Xenopus tropicalis: one gene and its partner. The protein of the gene in region 1 binds, or shares a complex with, the protein of each later gene. Links are inferred from orthologs where the notes say so. Each region holds a gene or a part of one and is shown on either strand. Other genes may lie near its edges.

Region 1 (4,093 bases):
ATACAAACGAGCTTGTTACCAGAGTTTACAGAAATGTTGCTTTCCCCTCAGGGCTACTTTGTGCTGAACGCTGTTCTTTCAGAGTATCAAGCCCTGGTCACTGCTTTAACCATGTGATATTATGCTCTGGCAGTAAAGGCACCATTGAACACTAAATTGAGTTCTCTCTCCTGGAAAAAGTAATGGCCAACTGGTAAATGGCTTTTCTTTTAGAGCTTAACATGGGGAGTAACATTTGGTGAAAGACGGCTGGGGCCCCTGGTCCCATTGAAAGCAAGGCTACAGCATAGTGTGATATTCTTGCCTAAAGGTGGCCATACCAATTCAGCAGCCTTTCTGCCCATATTTGGTCACTGCGGGCAGGCCTTCCCAAAAGAAATCTGGAATCAAATTGGCCAGATCTCTATGAGGCAAGATATGATTTTCCCATCAGATCAGGGAACATTGGATAGTTGATGCAGTCCTCGGTCTGACAGTGCCCATAGCTGCTATTTTAAGTCGTGCTTAAGTATTATTGCTAATGAAAGCAAAGCCTGGCTGTACCTTGCTCTTCCCTGCATTGCTGGTGCTGGCCATATGCACAACGTTACAATAGTTTGCTCTCCTCCAGCCAATGATCAGTTTCCCACAATACACTGGATTGTTACTTAGAATTAAAATGATACTGGTATATTCCTAAAATAGTCAGCATAACTAGGCAAGAATGGCCACAACCTTCTTTTTTAAACAGTAGCGCCTCAAGCCTGTGGTACCGGCCCATCTCTAGCAGGCCATGTAACAATGTTGCCAGTATGAGTCAAGCCAGTGTATGGTTCACATTATAGGGTTGCACCACCTCCATCCAACGAAGCAGCTCTCTCTCTGCTTATTGTGTCTGCAGGTTAACACTGGGCTGTGGGCAGAGAAACTTTGGTTCTAAACAAAGGACTTTGACTTATTTGTATAATAAACCCTTCCTTCTAAACAGGAGTCACAAACAGTACCTAGGGGAAGGAATGGGTTGTTTACATAGTGCTCAATGTCTCTATTTAAAAAATCTCCTGATAAGTAGAACAATAATCCAGGAGTGCTATTAAATAAAAGGAAAAAAATGGATTTCTTTTTTTAAACACAAGCTTCATGATTTGGTTATGTTGAACATAGGTTCATATTTTCCCTTAAAAAAATGTGAGTTATAAGAGCAAAGGGAAACAAGCAAGAAAACAAAAAAAAAAGGGAGACAACATTGAAACAAGTTGGATGTATATATTTTACTTCATTTCACACACTTTGTTGCTGTTATTTGAAGCTGCTGGTGCCAATAAGGAATACAGTGAAGATGGAACTTATGGTGCCTGTCCCAGTTATTTCTAGTAAGAATGCGTAGTGTGGATAAAGGCTTAGTTTGCTCATATCATGCATCACCCCCCCAAAGAAAAATAAAATCCTTAAGTAATGTGATTCTCTGTCAGCAGTGACTGTATATTGTGCGCTCAGCCATGGAGTTACCAGCTTTTTAAAGGTAACCAAAGGTCTCCCATTTGAAAGTGAAGAACACGTAACTTCGACTTATGGTAAAAAAGATCTAATCCAGCCATGAGACTATAATATACCCGTTAGATTTCCCTTAATACACAGAATTAAATATGCTGGTGTGGGTTTTAGCTGTACAGACAAGTGGTTTCTGGCATAATGTCCCTTGAACAGGCCTTTTACATAATTGCAGCCCCACTGGCTGTAGGCGGCTACAGGGAAGACCGAACAGACAGTAATTGTGCCTTTACCTTTAAACCGCAAGCAGACTAACCCCCATGATAGAGAAGCTACGGAAACCAAAGCAAGGAAAAAAAATATTCAGTATTTCCATTAGGCAAATGCATAAGGGAAATGAGAGATGGGAAATATTGTGACCCTCAGTCCTTTGCCTAGAACAGTTCATAGTCGGGGGGGGGGGGGGGGAAGGAAACTAAAAATAAAAGTTGTCAACAAGGAAGATGAAAAAAAAAAGATCAATACAAGGTATCAAGGCAAAAGCAAAGGAGAGCTGCAAAGAAATAACATATGCATAATTTTTTTTTTTTTTTTTTTTCAAACATTGTTAATATGTACATAAATACAGCTTGTCTTCCCAACGCTATTAATTCCATCTGCGCTTTAACAGCATTATACATGGTAGAATAAACCCACTAATAATGACTTACTGGAGGTGGTCTCTCTAGCTCCCTGCTCCCTGGTGCACTACACTTTGCCAAAGACTCAGAAGCCAACCTTGCCTATGCAGGAGAGAGCACACTGGCCAATCTTGTCACAAGGATGAGTTTATTAAATTAGTTGTCTTATAAAACAAACATTGCAGTCTCATTGTTAATATAACAATTCTCCCAAAGTAGGACCTGTTTGCAAAGCGCCATCCAGTGGGTGAGCAGAAGATTAAGAGAAAGGGCCAGACCTTGAACCTTGGTGCAAGAGTCAAAAAGCAATAAACCAATCGTGAAACCACACTGACACGCAATCACTAAATAAATATCAAGACCCTATGGCCCTCCCCTCCGGCAGAGCCATCAAGAACTGCCAGTTGGCCACAAAGTCATGATGACCCACATGTTTTGGTACTGGCAGCTCCAACAGAAGGCAGCACATATAGTCTGATGCACCAGCGGTATCTCCTTACCATTCTGCATCTTCACAGTTCCACATACTGTAGAGGTGATTTCAGATTGTTTAAAGTTTTAATATGGAAAAGCACCAAGCTGAGTCCATCAGGAATCACAGTTCAAAGCAGGAGATTCCTCTAGCACAAAGCTAAGAAACCAATATATATTAAAAAAAAAAAAAAAAAACTAAGATGGCTGGGAGGGCAGTGTCAATGAGGCAGGAAGTAAAGAGCCAGAAGAAAAAGAAAGATTTAATAACCTGCCCTGCCCAGAGAGAGAGAGACCATATTCCTAGGCAGAAAGCAGAGGCATGACTCTGTTTGTAACATGGCAGAGCTGAGCGTGCATGCCACAAGCAGAGTGGAGAAGGTTGCGAGCCTTGAGTTAAGGGGATGCTGAATAGAGCTGCATAGGTTAATTGTTTAATGTGCGATGTGGGCATCAACCAGTAGAATCCAGATACACACACCATGGCCATTTTCTTTTATATGGCCCGTTGAGGGGGGATGATTTCTTTGACTGTAGCATTTGGCAGAGTCCTGAGGGAGGAGAGCGCACTCCTTAATGAGGGCCACAAAGAACCAGCGTGTCACATGAAATCGTCATACTCTCGTCCATAGCCCTCATCCATGCCCCCATAATCTTCTAGATCATTCTTCATGTTGGCTTTTAGTCCTCCTCCCGGAACAACTCCCTTCTTTTTCTTTTTGGCTTTACTTTGTTGCTGTAATTCAGAGACACAATTGTAGTTTATCCAGGCAAAAAAATATGCTAAATCTCTACCTGCACAGAAGCAGGTTACAGGGGGCATATAACCTACCTATAACAATGACCAATGATTCATGATTTTAGCAGCTTTTACACTGCATGGCAAGAGCGGGGTAGAACATATAAAGCTTAACACTACCCTGCTAATGTCACATTGAGCAAAACAATAGAGCGGTGATGCATGAAGAGATGCTTCTTATCTATATAAAATAAACATTTGCTATTCTTCTTAGCGCTCAGCAGGGGGCACTCATGTTACACCTTCATGCTAACATCATGAAACAAGTCCTCTAATAGGTTGTCATTTTTCTATTACCTTGAAATAATTTCTTTAATACTCCTCCCACCCAAATAAACTCACCTTCTCTTGCTTCTGTTTCTCAAAGCACAACACTGTTAGAGAATTGTTGATTTTCTTCAGGTCATCCACTTCCACTAAAACAGGAAAATACAAAAATACTTCAGGCCACCGCAATATATGGCAAAATTAATGACTAACAAAGTTCATGTGATAAGTCATGAATGAAAAAGCTTTATGGAAATTGGAAAGGAGGAGAGGCTGGCTTACATGAGACGCACACTTCCCGCACAAGGACCTCCAGGAAGCCTGGGTAAAATAACGATCTCTCATACTGGGTGATCTTTTCTTTGAGGAGCTTCCCAAATTCTGTAAAGTCTTCTCTTGAGGACGG
Region 2 (4,431 bases), on another chromosome or scaffold:
CCTTCGCAAGAGAATGGATTGTTAAGGTATCTTATAAATGTTAAAGTGCTTCTAGTTATATTTAGTTTATATCTTGCAGTTTATTATTTGACCTTCACATCATTCTTTCTGACTGTCTACACTAATAATAATAAGCATATTTATTACTTCAGGGTGGTCCAACACTGGAGCAGCGTTTTGAATCCTATTACAATTACTGCAACCTCTTCAACTACATACTCAGTAAGTGTACAGGAATGTATGCAGTGCGGCGATTGTTGCTTATTGGGAAACTGTGTGGGAGGGAGTCTGCAAGATTGTGAGTGGAACTTAACAGAGAAGCAGGGTAAAATTTGTGTATTCCTATCACAGATGCTGATGGACCTGCTCCTTTAGAACTTCCAAACCAATGGCTGTGGGACATTATAGATGAATTTATTTACCAGGTCTGTATTTTCCTCCTTGTATGTCTAATTTGGAACATCCAGGTGACCATGCTGTACTTGTGTTCTGTGACCTAGAGAGTCTGTATTAAAATATGATTTTTTTTCTAAGCACCTTTTTCTTTTTTTCTTATTCATTCTCTCAGTTCCAGTCATTCAGTCAATATCGTTGTAAAACAGCCAAAAAATCAGAGGAGGAGATTGAATTCCTGCGCTCCAACCCCAAGATCTGGAATGTCCACAGTGTACTAAATGTTCTACACTCATTGGTTGATAAGTCCAACATCAACCGCCAGCTGGAGGTCTATACCAGTGGAGGTAAGAAAAGGGGCCCTGTTTGGTTCAAAGGATGAAGCAACCTATGGGGCCTGTTAGATGGCCTAAAATATAGTGTATAGACGCTAACCAAGACAGTGGTGTTAATGGGCAAACTGTAGTTTTAAGCCCTTTTTTGGACTGCTGAGTTTTCCTCCTGGTACATCTCCCATGTAGATCTAATTTATTCAGCCTGTGTCTAATGGTAGACTTCAATGGCTTTGACTTCAGCAGTGGTAAAAGCTATCTGTAAGTGCCGTGATTACATTTTGATTGATACCCAACTGTTTGGTGATCTTTTTAAATCCCTTGCCAGAACTGTTTAAGCCACTACAGAAATCACCATTCCTGTTTGAAAGGTTAAAACCTATTCCATTAAAGCTTCGCTTCTGAGATTTTTAGCAATTATGCATGTCAGTGGTTCTGTGTAATTGATAAACAAAAAGACTCAAGGTATTTGCACAAAGTATGTTTCTGATTAGTTCTTTGTTTGCAGGGGACCCTGAAAGTGTGGCTGGGGAATATGGGCGACACTCTCTTTACAAGATGTTGGGTTACTTCAGCCTTGTTGGTCTCCTGCGTCTCCACTCCCTGCTAGGGGATTATTACCAAGCCATCAAGGTGCTGGAGAATATTGAGCTTAACAAAAAGGTAATATACCCAAATACACTCCTATTTGAGCCTTTAAGTGGAGTTTCCTCCTGTAGGTTTGTGACCCTGCAGTTCTTTTCTGTTTATTCCTTCTTTGACAGAGCATGTATTCACGTGTGCCTGAGTGCCAGGTCACTACATATTACTATGTAGGCTTTGCTTACCTCATGATGAGGAGATATCAGGATGCCATCCGTGTGTTTGCCAACATTCTGCTGTATATTCAGAGGACGAAGAGTATGTTTCAAAGGACCACATACAAGTATGAGATGGTAGGTCCTTTTTATTGCTCATGTACATGCTGGCTGTCTCTTCTCACCTGTAAAACTAATTTAATGATCATATCTGTTTTTTTTCCCCTGCACACCAAAAAATATATATAAATATTTGTTACTCTTGAGGCACAGTATCTATATTGCCTTAAATTGGCAACTAAACTAAGGCCAAAGACAAATGTGAATTTATTTTATGGTGAACTTCCCTTTAAATTATTACTAGTGTCCTTTATATACAACAACATTTTTTTTTAAAAATGCTTCAACCCCTGCCCCAGTGTAGTTTGCCCTTTGCTAGGGTTATTATGAAAAAGTAAAGTATCCTCTTTCCCGTAGCTGAATGCATCTGGTTGCATATCAAGTCTTACTTTTCTTGCCCTTTTCAGTTTTTTGCCCACTAGATACCAGTTAACTTATCTTCTGTTGGTGCAGATTAACAAGCAGAATGAGCAGATGCATGGTCTTCTAGCCATCGCCCTCACCATGTACCCCATGAGAATTGACGAGAGCATCCACACTCAGCTAAGAGAGAAATATGGGGATAAGATGCTTCGCATGCAGAAAGGGTGAGTAATGAAGAGTAACATGATAAAACTTGCTAAAAAGGCTCATAGAGCGGATGGGTTAAACTGCTTCTACCTATAGGTTGACCGACTTTTTTTTCCTTTACAGAGATGCCCAGATCTATGAGGAGCTTTTCAATTATGCTTGCCCCAAATTCCTGTCCCCAGTGGTCCCCAATTATGACAACGTTCATCCCAACTACCACAAGGAGCCCTACCTGCAGCAACTTAAGGTGTTCCTTGATGAGGTGCAGCAGCAAGCCCAGCTTTCCACAATAAGAAGGTAAGTCTGCCTCTTTACACCTTACAAGAGACACTGTTGGCTTACATTAAGATTTCATTGTATGCCTATTACTCTCTATTGTGTTTTAGTTTTCTGAAACTCTATACAACCATGCCTGTAGCCAAACTGGCTGGATTCTTGGATCTCCCAGAACAAGAGTTCCGTATTCAGTTACTGGTTTTCAAACACAAAATGAAGAACTTGGTTTGGACCAGTGGTATTTCTGCCCTCGAAGGAGAATTCCAGTCTGCCTCAGAAGTAGACTTCTACATAGATAAGGTGACAGATAACTTTTCCTCCTTCCAGCTAGGACCTTTAAAGCCATTAATTAAGAATTCAAGGACTAACATGTTTTCATCTAACCAGGCTCTAATCTAACCAGTTCTGGTAGAGCCTTGTGTGTGCACCACTGCCTACCTTCTAGACCAGGGGTGGGCAAACTTTTTGGCTCAGGGGCCACATTCACTTACAGCCAGGCCGGGCCAGCGTTATGCCAAGGGCTGCCATCAGAAATCACGGGGCCTCACAGCTCCACTCCCCAGCATCCTGCAGCTTCCCACCCCAGCATCCTCCAACTCCACCCCCAGCATCCTCCATCACCCCCCCCCCCCCAGGGACCTGCGGATCCTTGCAGCTGCTTTAGCATCCTCCGACTTCTGTCCTCACCCTAGACCAGGGCCGAAACGTTGATGTAATTTTATGAAGCAATAAATTGGATTGAATATAAGTGGAGTGTGCATCTGGAGAAAAAAATATGTATAGATATACACACACTCTTTTGTTCTGCAGCCTTCTTAACTATATTGTCTTCTATATTCAGGATATGATACACATTGCAGATACTAAAGTTGCTAGGCGGTATGGAGACTTCTTCATACGACAGATTCACAAGTTTGAGGAGGTAAGAGGACTACAGTATTCCATGGGAAGTAATTATGCTGTGTTTCACTTTAGCGTCCCATAAAGAAACAATGTGTCCATATCCTTGTACTGTTGTCATATAAAACCTTTGTCTCGGTTTGTTTATAGTGGGTAGTAATGATCTATAGTTATTTGCTAGTTACCGTAACAGGGCACTATGTATTCTATGAATTCTGGGTATTATGCATACATACATTCAGAAAGACAATAGTGACATTGATCGTAGTCTTGGATGATAATTTGGAGTTATATGTTTCAGATTAAATCCATGTCAATGTAATGTTGTTCTTGGCAGATGCAGCATTATCTTAACTGCTTTTGGCCATTGTCATGTCTGCGACTGTGTTCAAGAGTGAAAGCAGTGTAGAGTAAAGGGCATCCAGAACCTTTGATATGGTACTGACATGCTTTTCCTTTTTATCCACAGCTGAACAAGACCCTAAAGAAAATGAGCCAGAAACCTTAACATGACTCAACTATTTATAGATACAGTTTGTCAAACCTTAAATCTGTGGAACATACACAGAAAAGGACTTCAACAACTTTTAATAAAATACCTTCAATTCTCTATTCTGTTATCTCTTCTTAAATAAGATGTCTCGCCTAATAAAGTTTGTAAAGGTATATGATTATATAGTGGAATAATGATGGCAATTTAGCAATGTAACAAACCAACAAATATAGTAAACGAGAATCCCAACTGGGGTTATTTACATAGCATTTTTCTCCTAAGGGATTCGATGAGCTTGACAGCAGTTATGTATGCCTGAAAGTAAAACAGTCTGTAGCATTATATCCCATGTCAAAGGCTGATCAGTTGAATTAAGGGCCAACTATTAGGAAGAATATCCTAAGTCTGCTCATAGAAAAAAGCAGGAACTCTATTCTCGCAGGTCTTCAGAAGCAGAAAAAGATTGAAAAGAAGAAAAGTACAAATCACTAGAGGTCTGTGCAAACCTCTCCCTAAAGGAGATGATGATAAATGTCAATGCATTTAGGTC

What was found. Proteins that work in one complex are often made in the same cells at the same time.
Region 2: eif3j (region 1) and eif3l share a complex: the UniProt entries of both Homo sapiens proteins name them as parts of the eukaryotic translation initiation factor 3 (eIF-3) complex. The link is inferred for Xenopus tropicalis from reciprocal best matches to the Homo sapiens genes EIF3J and EIF3L.

The regions. Positions count from the first base shown.
Region 1 is NC_030679.2:118,202,867-118,206,959, forward strand, and holds the end of eif3j (eukaryotic translation initiation factor 3 subunit J), read right to left. Parts: coding exon 3,970-4,093; intron 3,837-3,969; coding exon 3,763-3,836; intron 3,358-3,762; coding exon 3,223-3,357; 3' UTR 1,232-3,222; downstream 1-1,231. UniProt on the Homo sapiens protein: Component of the eukaryotic translation initiation factor 3 (eIF-3) complex, which is required for several steps in the initiation of protein synthesis.
Region 2 is NC_030680.2:122,088,944-122,093,374, forward strand, and holds the end of eif3l (eukaryotic translation initiation factor 3 subunit L), read left to right. Parts: intron 1-152; coding exon 153-222; intron 223-351; coding exon 352-425; intron 426-568; coding exon 569-740; intron 741-1,233; coding exon 1,234-1,388; intron 1,389-1,489; coding exon 1,490-1,660; intron 1,661-2,095; coding exon 2,096-2,229; intron 2,230-2,335; coding exon 2,336-2,509; intron 2,510-2,598; coding exon 2,599-2,788; intron 2,789-3,329; coding exon 3,330-3,410; intron 3,411-3,857; coding exon 3,858-3,896; 3' UTR 3,897-4,054; downstream 4,055-4,431. UniProt on the Homo sapiens protein: Component of the eukaryotic translation initiation factor 3 (eIF-3) complex, which is required for several steps in the initiation of protein synthesis.